Bombyx mori: one gene and its partners. The protein of the gene in region 3 binds, or shares a complex with, the protein of the main gene of each other region. Links are inferred from orthologs where the notes say so. Each region holds a gene or a part of one and is shown on either strand. Other genes may lie near its edges.

The links. Proteins that work in one complex are often made in the same cells at the same time.
Region 1: DNA polymerase delta subunit 2 (region 3) and DNA polymerase delta subunit 3 share a complex: the UniProt entries of both Homo sapiens proteins name them as parts of the both the DNA polymerase delta and DNA polymerase zeta complex. The link is inferred for Bombyx mori from reciprocal best matches to the Homo sapiens genes POLD2 and POLD3.
Region 2: DNA polymerase delta subunit 2 (region 3) and DNA polymerase delta catalytic subunit share a complex: the UniProt entries of both Homo sapiens proteins name them as parts of the tetrameric DNA polymerase delta complex. The link is inferred for Bombyx mori from reciprocal best matches to the Homo sapiens genes POLD2 and POLD1.

What each region holds. Positions count from the first base shown.
Region 1 is NC_085112.1:7,020,458-7,024,682, forward strand, and holds the start of DNA polymerase delta subunit 3, read right to left. Parts: upstream 2,801-4,225; 5' UTR 2,314-2,800; coding exon 925-2,313; 3' UTR 1-924. UniProt on the Homo sapiens protein: Accessory component of both the DNA polymerase delta complex and the DNA polymerase zeta complex.
Region 2 is NC_085116.1:10,632,158-10,636,244, reverse strand, and holds the start of DNA polymerase delta catalytic subunit, read right to left. Parts: upstream 2,801-4,087; 5' UTR 2,653-2,800; coding exon 2,646-2,652; intron 2,581-2,645; exon of another isoform or gene 2,532-2,580; coding exon 1-2,531. UniProt on the Homo sapiens protein: As the catalytic component of the trimeric (Pol-delta3 complex) and tetrameric DNA polymerase delta complexes (Pol-delta4 complex), plays a crucial role in high fidelity genome replication, including in lagging strand synthesis, and repair.
Region 3 is NC_085117.1:13,261,842-13,266,542, forward strand, and holds DNA polymerase delta subunit 2, read left to right. Parts: upstream 1-1,600; 5' UTR 1,601-1,800; intron 1,801-1,979; 5' UTR 1,980-2,157; coding exon 2,158-2,513; intron 2,514-2,591; coding exon 2,592-2,713; intron 2,714-2,788; coding exon 2,789-2,882; intron 2,883-2,989; coding exon 2,990-3,141; intron 3,142-3,706; coding exon 3,707-3,883; intron 3,884-4,016; coding exon 4,017-4,088; intron 4,089-4,180; coding exon 4,181-4,417; intron 4,418-4,499; coding exon 4,500-4,612; 3' UTR 4,613-4,638; downstream 4,639-4,701. Other genes in the region: meiosis-specific with OB domain-containing protein, read right to left, coding at 483-544, 626-872; uncharacterized protein LOC134199621, read right to left, coding at 4,639-4,692. UniProt on the Homo sapiens protein: Accessory component of both the DNA polymerase delta complex and the DNA polymerase zeta complex.

The sequences.
Region 1 (4,225 bases), on a different chromosome or scaffold from region 3:
TAAAGTTAATGACATAAAACAAGTGTAATAAGTTCTTAAAGAATCCTTCCATCCACAGAATTACAGGCTATACAGATATATAGCGTAACTGTAATAAATTCAAGGGTGCAAAGATTCGAAAACATAATATCAAAATGTATAAAAATAATGATGTTACAATCATCTACATTATCTGATTCAGATCACATTCGATAATCCTTAACAAAGCTGTCAAACATTTTTTTTTTGCGATTGAAAGATTACTGTTCTCTCGGAGGCTTTCCTAGTTTCACCAGGATAGGTAGGTAAGCAAGGGCTCAGCCAGGAGGGATCAAACTATATCTGTACATGAATATATTATGTCGGTATGTGCAATATTTTTTTTTGTTTAATATTTGGTTTACAACTGTTGGAAATTATTGGCATGAAATAATGAAATTAATGACTCGTAAGTATTAGCGATCCTAACTTGCTGTTCAAAGTCAGAACATCATCACTAGCAATAAGATTAAAATTTTGCTACCTACTTATACTTTTGTTGTTGTCATTTTTTAGTATAAAAGTGGAACTTGTAAAAATTTTCCTGATTGTTTTTAATGATAACAATATTACAAAAGCTCATCACTAGTTACTAAATTAAAAAAGGAAATTTTCAGTGTAACTGGGAAAATATTGCACTGAACTGATTTATCTTTCTTTTTTATATAAATACTGAGTATTTGATAGCAGAATTATCTCAACCTTGTCTTCCCTATTTCCATTTACCTAAACAAACTTTAGAAATTATAATGCCAACTGCGCTTATTGAAGGTTAACCTATTACATTCTGTAAGTATATAAATGTACGTAGAGAATTGGATCCTTATTAAAACAATTGAACTGGCATCCACTATATCTTGATGGTATAATTATTTTATTCCATGATTTGGTTACATAGGATGGTATTTAATTTGGTACTTTTTTAAAGAAGTTCATCATGGTTGGTTGTTTATGTTTTTGTGATGGAGAAGACTTTTTTTTTGATTGCTTTATTGGCACATTTTTCAGAGCAGTGGTTTCAACGGTGACTTGTTTTTTAATATCAACATTCTCTTTTGTATGCACTTCATCATCTGAACAACTCTCATAAATTTCTTCTTTTTTGGTTAACATAAATCCTTCTTCATCTGTATAAGTTTTATCTATGATTTTTCTCCTCTTTTTTGCATTAACAAGCCCAGGTGTTATGGTAACAATGGTAGCTGATGGAGTTGGTGGAATTTCATCTTCAGATTCACGTTCCAAAGTAATTTCATCTGCCAATGAATCTGATTTTTCACAATCACTATCACTATCAGAAACATGCAATACTCTTTTGCGTTTCTTTCCAAAAGAATTCCCCTGGTTAGTTTTTTTATTTCTTACTTTAACTTCAATATCTATTTTCTCCACTTTGATGTCTTTTTTTTGAGTTGATGCTTCATTTTTTTGTGCGATTATACTATTTACTGACTTCTTCTCTGTCAATTTAATTTCAGTTCCATTGGTTTTAGAGCTATCATCAATGTTTGTTTCTTCTCTATCAAATTTTTTTGTTATTTTTGTTTTGTTTTCAATATCTCCCTTATCTTTCTTGTTAATATCCATTTTAACATTTGGTGTTTTTGATAAAAATCCCATTATATTCCCATTAGACTTTCCATTACTTTTTTTATCAAGAGATTTATTGTTAGTAACAGAATTGTACTTTGGTGATGGAATTTCAGATTTTACAGGATCTGTTTTCTTATCATGATCTTTAATAGTTTTCACTTCATTCTGTGTATTGTGATTTTCTTCTTTAATACTGTTTTTCGAATCTTTCTTTATGGAGTTTTTCAGATTTTTCTCGGGTACTTCCTGGCTCTTAAATTTTAAAGTGCCTATTTCTTCATAAGATCTCTTTGAACAAATATTGTTTTTGACTGTACCTTTACATAACAAATAATCTTCGAAGGTGTTTATAGCTATAAATGCTGATTTATCTATACTTGTACAATGGCCGTAGCATACACTATAAATATGCTCAAAGAATATTGTACTGAATTTGTCTTTCACGCTTACTAATTCTTCTTCTAGTACAAGAATAGTTAGAAGTTTATTGTTTTTTAAGGATCCCGAGATAATGTAGCTGACTGAAAGACCAACATTCGGCTTGTTCTTTCTCAATTCATCAACAAATTCTCTCAAAAATATTTTCGCCTTATTTACATGAATGCACAATTCTTTACTAATGGATGTGTATGTCACTAAACGCCGCTCATCTAAGATTATGTTCTTTATAGAATTTAAGCTCTCTGACTTATTTTCATCCATTATAAATACAAATTCATTCAAACAGTAAACAGTTAATTTAAGTTACCTATCAATTCTTTTCTGAACTCTGAAGTAGACATGCGTAGTTCCGGAACTAAATAGTTCCTGGAACTATGTCCTCATATGGAACTATATCATTCAATCCGACTTGTCAAAATTAACATGTTCAGACAGTTCCATTTCCATTCCAAGTGTACTGTTATGCAGGAACTACGAACGCGTTGAACATGACGGACATGCGGACATGATTAGAGCATAGGTACCGCGCGGCGCGGAGGCGTGGCGCGGCGAGTCCACCCGAACGAGTCTCGAACCGACACGAGTCCACGTAAAGAGATAAGGCGACATATGGCACGAATACGAGAGAGTGAGATGGAGCGAGTGCATGAAACTGCGTGTGGAGCTCTTTCATATTACATTTTTATTAATATTGAAGTTATGCTCTACGACCTACGTGTTACAGTCGATAGTTGATTAAATTAAAATGTTTTGCTATGGATTTTGACCTTGACCATGCATCATTCCTACGAGCACTTAACCTTAAGTGTTTGTAGACCATTTCTTAGAAAATCATAATTCAAAATTCGAGAATTTTAAAACATTCACCACTTTCGCTATTCGGTATCTCGGTTATGGGAAAAAGGTTGTAAGGCTACAACGAGCTCAATTTACGTTGTATATCAGAATAACGTGGTATTTTAATTAACAACTGATAGGTTATAGTTTTCGGTGCATCGTACAATACCTACATTGAAAAATAATGAAAGTAGTAGAGTAGTTGAAATTATGACAAAGTAATTACAGTACATTAATAAATTATGCAACCAGCTGTAACAATGAACCTAAAACTAAAAACCTTACAAAATAATAATTACAATAATAATTGCCATAAGCGGCAATCTATTTTTATATAGTGCTTTTAAAAAATTGTTTTTTTAATACCTTTTTTGAAAAATATTGTGTAATTAATAATAACTTAATACGTGATTCACTACACTACAAACAGCTACTAGACTTAACATGTCCGCGGAACTAAACAGCTTCAAACAGCTACTAGACTTAATATGTCCGCGGAACTAAACAGCTACAAACTACAAACAGCTACTAGACTTAACATGTTCGTGAAACTAAACAGTTCCGCGAACATGTTTACTGGAACTAGTTCCGACACTCAAAAGAACGATGTCATGTTCAATCCAGTTCCGAACATGATTAGCGCACGTCTACTCTGAAGTTTTTTTTTTTTTAAGAGATTTTATGACCTGTTAACTAAGACCTTTAAGTCATGTCTTATTTTAATTTATATTCTTAATTTTATGAAAAATGATAATATGAAGTGAAATGAAATGAAGTTGATTAATATAAAACATGGTATGGCACGAAATGAAAAGATATAAGATGATATGAGATGAAATATAATCTCGGTAAAATGGTGTTCATTTACTGAGACGTTTTCAGTGGACTTTTTGGAGGATCCCGAGAAGCTACGTCTAGCGGCTTTGTTTCATTTTTCCACATTTGTGCCCTTTGACAGATATTAAACAGTTAATAAACCACCGTTATTACACATTTAAATCTGAAGAAACACTAAATAGACAAAATAAAACAAATCACACAACTCCACTCCTCGCCTTCCCGCCGAAAAGTTTTTTTTTTATTCCTTACATGGTTAGATGAGCTCACAGCTTACTTGGTATTAAGTGGTTACTGAAGCCCATAAATAGGTATCTATAACGTAAATGCGCCACCCACCTTGAGATATAAGTCTAAGTTCTCAAGTATAGTTATAGCGGCTGCCCAACCTTTCAAACCGAAACGCATTACTGCTTCACGGCAGAAGTAGGCAGGGTGGTGGTACCTATCCGCGCGGACTCACAAGAGGTCCTGCCACCATAGGCATAGTCTAAAAGTC
Region 2 (4,087 bases), on a different chromosome or scaffold from region 3:
AGCTCCATCTGGGTCTCTGTCTATGAGCAACTTCTGTAAACAAGTGCTCATTACATTAGAAACAAGAGGACAATTGTCTCTTCGAACAGTTTCAATACCCTTGCAATCCATTTTGTCATATTTATCTGGTCTAGTAAAATAAAGGCCAGCATATCGTTTCTTATTAATGAGTAAGTATGGGTAGTATACTTTCTCAAATTCTAATTTTATAGGTTTTACAAACTTTGCTGTAACAAATTCAGCTGCTTCTTTTCCTAATTCCATACTCTCTTCAAGAGTTTTCACTCCAAACTTAACCATTACAGAATCAGTATCTCCATATATAACAACAGCATCTTCTTTATATCCATTAGCTTTAGTGTATTTCTTTTCTACTTCTGACTTAGTGAATTCAATCATAGTTCTGCCATAAGCAGTGACACTACCAGATATTTCTAAGCATGGTAATTTTCCTACTTGAGCACCTGTAAATCCATAAACAGAGTTTGCACTTATTTTCAAAGCCAGTTGTCTACCATCCAGAACTGACCTTTTAAATGGGTCTTTTTCATCCTTCAAGTCTGCCTTTGCTTTTTTTCTTGCTGCGAGTAGTGATTCTAGAATTTCTGGTAGTAGGCCCTTTCTGATGTGATTTTTTACAAACATGTTTTTTGAAGGTGTTATAGTAACATCATTGTCAGCAACATTAAATTGGTTTTGAGCATTAGGGGGAACTAAAGTTGTATAACATAAATTATGTGCCATCATGATGCTCGGGTACAAAGATGCAAAATCTAAGGTTGAAATAGGGTCGGCATAGTATCCTCTTTTGGGTTCAATAACTGTGGCTCCTTCATACTGATCATCAGAACCTTGGCTATGGTATACTGGCATTAAATATCCAGCTTCTTTTGCTTTGCGTAGTAGCTGACTGACAACTTTTATTTGTTGCCCTCTTGTTAGTAAACAAAGTAAAGGAACACCAGTAACTCTAGCCATTTCCATGTGATTAATGATACACATTAATTTGTTTAAAAGTTTTAGTGGGAGGTAAGCATCTTTAAGACAGTACATTGCCAATCTCCTTCTGGTTTGTTCACTTTCATTTTGTAAATCTGTGATTATACTGTGATGCACATCTTCTTTCTGCTCTTGAAGGAAATGGTAACTGACAGCATTCAGAGTATATGACCTTAATTTGTAATCACGAACTAATACCAACAATAAATCAAAAGGAACTCGTCCTTCAAAATTAATGGTTTTATTTTCTCTTCGACCCATCTGTTTCGATTGCAAGACTGTATCTTTTATAACAGATCTTACATTTTTTATTCGTCCCAGAAAATCAAATTTTTGCACATTTAAATGTTTAGCACGATTTATAAGATATGGCCAGTCGAAATTGCTAATATTATATCCAGTAATGATATCAGGATCTAATTTGCGAAAAAAATCAGACCACTTAGATAACATTTCAGACTCTGATTGAAAACTAAGTACTTGTGAACCTACAATAGGAGCACATGTATTCAATGTAAATACGTTTCTTAAATATGGTTCTGTTTCACCTTGTCTTATGACCATGGATGCAATTTGAATTACAGGGTCATGTTTAGCTTCTGGGAAAATACCTTTTCTACCAGCACATTCAATATCAAAACTTAATATTCTGAATGGTGCCACTTTTGACCACTCTCCTTCTGGTGGATGAAATATGAAAGCATTCCATGCCACATCCACTTCAATCTGACATCTAGATTCAGGCTTCACTTTTGAATCTATTGTTCTTAAAAACCACTTCCCAACAGGTAGTTCAATCCAACTGCATCCAACAATTGAAGTATCAACCATGAAACGTATATCAAAATCGATGTTTGTTTCATAAAATTGAGGATCCATCAATCCAAAAGATAGAGGTTGCCTTTCGATCAGTCTTTTGGCAGCAGCAATTAATTTTGGCAGTGCTACTGAAACTCTTGCAAATGTAATATTGGAATCACCTTTGTAATACATAATTGATTTGGCCTGTACTAAACGCACTTCAAGGACACATTCTTTAATATTATCTTTATTCCCTCTTAAATCTTCTAATATTGCTTTGTTAAGATTTGTTTTCATTTCGTTACAAGAAGATTCTGTAAAATTTACTGGTACAGTGACATAAAAATATGGTGTAAAACCATGTACATGACAGCAAACAGAGTTTCCCTCTGAAGTTATCCCGTACATCCTCATTATAGGTACGGGAGCCAATTGGGAGCCAGGCATGCCATTCATTGGTGAGCCATAATAATGATCAATGTCGAGTTGTTGAAATATTAATGTTTCTCGGTTTGGAGTCAGTATAGGCGGTGGAGGACGAGACCATTTCATATTCGAAGATTGATTTTCAGGTCCTTCACCTTCAAATATTTCTTGGCTGTCAATATCACCAGTGTCCATACAAGCCAGTTGTTCTTCGAAACTAAATGGAGTATCGTTTTCATCGTCATCGTCGCCAGATTTAAACCTCTTTGGAGGAGGACCTTTAGTTTTATTCCTGTCCATTTTGTCTGTGTACAATATTGTTTTAATTTAGCTTGCTTTTACGTCCTCGTAATTAACATAGATTAACTACCTAATTGTGCACTGAGATTAACGGGAGATAAATTTAATCTTTCACTTACTTGACATGGAGGTTCTATACCTTTAAATAATATGTAAGCACTACTTTTTAAAATTTAACGTAATTAAGTCAAGATTTTTCAATCAATCTGTAGGATTTAACGCGGGATTTTTTCAATTTAAGAACTGTCAAATATCAGTTCAGTGGTAGTTCTACTTTTTCAACTGGAAAGGCAAAGGTATTATACCATACTGCCTAATCTATACTAATATCTAAATCTACAGTGGTTTTTATGGATGTTCCGTTGTAACTACTAATCCATGCATCCGATTGACTTGAAACTTGGTATCCATGTAGAAAATATTTGTCTGTTATAGTTTTTTATAAAGGCTGCACATAACTTTTAGGACTCTTGCAAAAAGACCACTAAAAAGATGTAAAAAACCTCCATTTTACTAATATTATATTTCATCCCATATCATTTCATTTCAATTCATTTCATGCCTATTGATTAATGTTCCAAATTAATCAACTTCGTTTAATTTCACTTCATATTATCTTTTCTGATCTGATTTTGTACCTGATCTACGCACTAAAGATAGACATTTATTATTTTTAGGATCTCTATTGAAACTCTTTAATATCCCAGGTCTGTAAAATATAGTTGAGACTCAGTTTATGTAGGCGGCGACATTAACGTGGGTGATTTGTATACGCTCTAGTAAACACCTTAATACTAGATGGCTCTTTGGGCCCTCTACGACAGAATGAATAACATAGACTGAAATATCTTTAGAATTTATTATTTGTATTCGCAAATGCGGCGCAAGTTTGAATTGCAGAAGCCTACCCGTGTTTTAAAATTTCAGTATATTATTCATTATGTTTATAAAAACGTATGTTTATTATAATGGATACTAATCACTTCTGTTCGTGCTCGTTCGACCATTATCACTGAAAAAGAAAATCATTTAGAACATAGTGAAGATAATGCTAGGTCCTAAACATTAAACTATAATAATATATGTAACAGAATACAATTAAATGAAAAGTATTATTTTCTACTAATTAATTGCTTGGAAGTAGTTACATTACTTAAAAACATTTTACACCAGAAATTCAATAGATAAGGTCTGCGGGATATGTTGTAAGTACGGCGAACTCTTCGTCGCATTCAAAGAGAACGGTGACCGATACTTAGAACGCACTTTGAGAGGGCGGCACGACATAAAAAGCATCTTGTCGTGGCCGCTGGAAACTATATACCCGACCCTGTAGACCGAAAAAAAAACACGTCATTAGATCCTTCCGATCCATTAATGGTGCTTTTAGGTACACAAGCACCGGTCACCGTCATGGCCGAACCTGTCGCTTGCGACGAAGGGCTCGACGAGCGAATTAACCCATAAACACAGCCCACTGAGTTTCTCGCCGGATCTTCTCAGTGGATCGCGTTTCCGATCCGGTGGTAGATTCTGTGAAGCACTGCTCTTGCTAGGGTCA
Region 3 (4,701 bases):
CCTCTGACACAGCCCACTGAGTTTCTCGCCGGATCTTCTCAGTGGGTCGCGTTTCCGATCCGGTGGTAGATTCTGCGAAGCACGACTCTTGCTAGGGTTCGTGTTAGCAACGTCATTAGGTTTGAGCCCCGTGAGCTCACCTACTAGTTAAGGCGACGTTGATAGGTATAAGCCTCTCAAGGCTATCAGCTTAGGTAGGAAAAAAAAGAAAAGAAAAGGTGGTCGGATTGATAACCTCCTCTTTTGAAGTCAGTTAAGAAGCGTGATTTTGGTACCTTAAATAGCTCATTAACATTCTACTATTCAAAAATATTTTCACTTTCCACGTAAATGAAGTCGCGGGTAAAATTTAGCGTTATGCCAAAGTGACTATTCCACGCGGACGACCTCGCGGGCAAATATTAGCTATTTACTAGTTTGATTAAGTAGGTATTTATTATATTATTTCATGTCGAATACTTTAGTTTTCATGAATAGCTTACCTGAGGTCTGAAATTTTCATTCTCACCAGTTTTAATGCATATCTTGGGTGCAGTAATTTCTACTGCAAGAAAACAATTTAAAACAGGATTTAAAATAGGATTTTGATTTTATTATTTTAAGATGTTTACAGATAAGTACTAACCAATGTCACCAACGAGAAAACGTTCATAGAAAGTAAACACAAAGTATTCCGAACCCCACACATCAATATTGATTGTATCGACTTCTGAATCTCTCAATGTGAAAGATGTAACGGCTCTAGATTCCCCATTTTTTCTCCGTGAACTGATGGTACGAGGACTATTTTTAGCTATTATGATACCCAATATGAGTGCATTTTTTTGGTTAATATTTAAAGCATTAAGGCAAACTTTTTGAACTCCAGCCATACTTATATTTAAATAGACCACCACAACAATAAGGAGAGTTAAAATTTGTATTAGTTGATTAGATTAGTTTGTGTGGTACGTAGGTAGGTAGGTATCTTATATAATATTTTTGAAATAAATTTGGCGCTTCAAACTGCTTTCATAAGTTGCATTTTCCACTTTAATGGGCGAAGGGGTCATAGTCTATAAAACCAGGTCAAATGTAAATGTGTCCCGAAAACTTAATTTAAACTCACTTAACACGTTGAACGCCACATGAAAAAAATCGATATTTTCATTCAGGCCACGTTGCTCACCGGTGAGCCTTATCTTACTGAACCGTTCGGGCCATTAGGAGTCACCTGTGAGCCGCGTGAGGGTTACAACGTAAACGTAAACGTTTCTTACAAGCCACAGATTGCACCAATCAAACAAAATGGAAGTGAGCCGCGTGGCCCTTTAGCCTAGCCGAACGCGTTGGTTTTCAAATCCAATAGAAAATTGTAGTTTTTATCAAGACATCTTAAAATATCTTATAAACTAGACGGTAATTTTTATCATCCGTGGAAGTTATTGCATTTTATGAATTTTAGAATTAAAATCTCAAGTTGATAAAATTACTCATTTCTGATTTTAGCTTGGCCCAAATGGTATAGTACGTTAGCCCACCGGTGGGCTGCATTGCGTACAACGTGTTGTTTTAAATTAAGTGTATTATCTATGGTTATTAAATTTATTCTAATAGGACTTTTTGGCGGGAACGCGAGCAGTGAAGTTGTGTGATTTGTTTTATTTTGTCTATTTAGTGTTTTTTCAGGTTTAAATGTGTAATAACGGTGGTTTATTAACTGTTTAGTATCTGTGGAAGTGCACAAATGTGGGAAAATAAAATAAAGCCACTGAACGTAGCTTCTCGGTTTCCTCCAAGAAGTCCACTGAAAAAATCTTAGTAAGTGACCACCATTTTACTGAGATTATATTTCATCTCATTTGATTTAATTTCATCCTAATTGATTAATGTCTCAAATTAATCATCTTCATTTCATTTCATTTCACTTCACTCCTTAATATAATTTTTCATAAAAATAAGAATATACATTAAAATAAGATATGACTTAAAAGTCTTAGTTACCAGGTCATAAAATCCCTTTAAAAAAAGCGGCAAATTAATGAAAAAATAACTGAAGCTAAAGAATTATTAAAAGTCTGGGGAAGGTCTAAAAAAACAAGTGAAGTGAATAAATTAATAAGTCGAATAGCTAAGAGAGGAAATTCATTCACAACATAAACTTTAAGCACCAATAAGATGCTTTTAAAAGTATCGCCGAAATCAACAGCAGATGAGGAATTCTCTTCCCACGATCTAGAGAGACAAATTGTTGACTACACTGATAGTTCTACACGGTTTTATGAAGCACCACGAGATTTTTCCAAGCAGTACGCCCATATATATTCAGCTAGGTTATGTACATTCCGAAATATTTTGACTCCGCTGATAAAAAATAAGTGGTCAAATAAATACAAGATTTTAAAGCTTTGTGATTTACGTGAAAGCGGTACCTCTTGTGTTATAATTGGAACACTGTTCAAACTGCAAGAATTGAAACCAAGCATTCTGAAAGAGCTTTCAGATCAGCTTGAGATTATACCACAACCAACTAGGTAAATTGGACTCTACATTTAATAAAATGCTGTTTAATTAAAAGGTAATGTTGAAATATTAAAAATTCTATCTTTTAGGACTCATTTCGTCCATGATTCCGATAGCCTTGTGTTAGAAGATGAATTGCAAAGAATCAAACTTGTAAGCGATGTTATAGATATCCATCAAGTAGTCACTGGAGTTGTATGTGCAATTTTAGGTATTTAAAATCCATAATCATCTGTTCTATGTTATGATGATTGAAATAAAACACTAAAGTTTATTTTCATTATAGGATCTGAAGATGAGGATGGTATATTTACTGTTAAAGATGTCTGTTGGCCTGGTTGCAGTATACAAAAACCACTTCCAGTTAGAAATGAAGACAGGTTATTTCATCAACTTATATGCTGGATAAAAATCACTGTTGCTAAAGGTTCACATAGTATGTAACAAAATAAACTACATTCCCTTAATTGATTTTTTTCCCTTCTAGATACATAGTACTTATGTCGGGTTTAAATATGGCATCAAAGTCTGCAGATCAAATTTTGTCCTTGCACTTATTTTTGGAATGGATGTCAGGATTAGCAGGCACATCTTATTATCAAGAAGAAGTTTCTAAAATTGTACGAGTTATAATAGCCGGTAAACTATAAGCTTAAAAGTTAAAATGGTTCATGTTTATGTATGTATGTATGTTATGAAATTGTATGAAACTCCATTAGTGTTTTAAAGTTATTTCTTTGGGCATAAATAACATTTAATAATCAAGTAAAAACTTATAAATAGATAAAATAAATAAATAAAGTAAGTAAGGATTTAGAAGTATAATGTGTGCTGGCTTGGGAAGTTACTAATGCTGTTTCTGGGTTGTAGTGTAACATAGTCACCAAATACATTATAATCGAGATTTCAATCATGTCTAAAGTAGTGACTATTCAAACCAACGACATACATACCATGTTGGTTTGAATAGTTGCATTATATGGCAGTTCACTTTAATAGGAATAATCTATGCATGCATAATTTACTTTGGTAAACGGAGAGGAGTGCCGAAACAGAGAGTAACAAGCACTGTTAGCAAGTTCAAAATGTTAACAGACTTATATTAATTTTGTACACACAAAAAATACATATTATAGAAAAATATAAACTAACTTAAACAAATATTAACACAAAAAGTAAAGAACGTAAAATGTTTAATTCCTAGGTGGAGTGTTTGCAAATCATTCAGATGAAAGTGTTCTAAATGAATCAGATGTCATATCGTCAGCAGAATTGGTGGATTCATTGGCAGCAGCTATTAGTGGTGTGGCTCCTTTAGACATAATGCCAGGATGCAAAGATCCTAATGATGTAATGTTACCACAAAAACCTTTTCATTACTGTAAGTATCCATTTTATCCATAGGTTAGCTTAAAATTATCATTACTTAATAATTTTACCAGGCTTTTTCAGAACAAAATTGCTATTTAATGCTGGAAATTAAAGAATTTACACTCATAATAATCTTATTATAGGTTTGTTCCCTAAAGCTACTGAATACAAATCGTTCCGCCGTGTTTCTAATCCTTATGAATGTGAAATAGGAGGTAAGGATCATTGCTAGCCATTATGAAAATATATCATTTACTATTACTGTTAACTGAGGAATTTGGTTGAAACATATAATTATTTATTTTAGGGTTGTTATGTTTAGGTACTTCAGGAGAGCCAGTAAAGGATATAATGAGATATAGTAACTTAGATAATAGTCAAGAGGTACTTAAAAAAACATTGGAATGGAGGCATTTAGCACCAACATGTCCTGATACGGTACCTTGTACCCCAAGTGTGGATACAGATCCATTTATTATTTATAACTGTCCAGCTATTTATTTTAGTGGAAATGCTGATGAATTTGGAACTACCTTATATGAAGGTTTGAAACATTCTATAAATTAAAAATTCTTGGCAATATTCCCTTAATAGAACAAGAAATTTAAAAACATAATTGGTTTCAGGAGAAGAAGGGCAACGCATCAGAATAGTATCAATTCCAGATTTTTGTAATACTAAATCGATAGCAATTATCAATTTAGCAAATTTGGAATGTTACAGCATGAGTTTTTCTTGATTTTCATATAATTTGGAATAAATTGATTAAGTGCACAAATTTATTATATCAGTTTTCAGTATAGCTATATATACCAAAACCTTTAATAC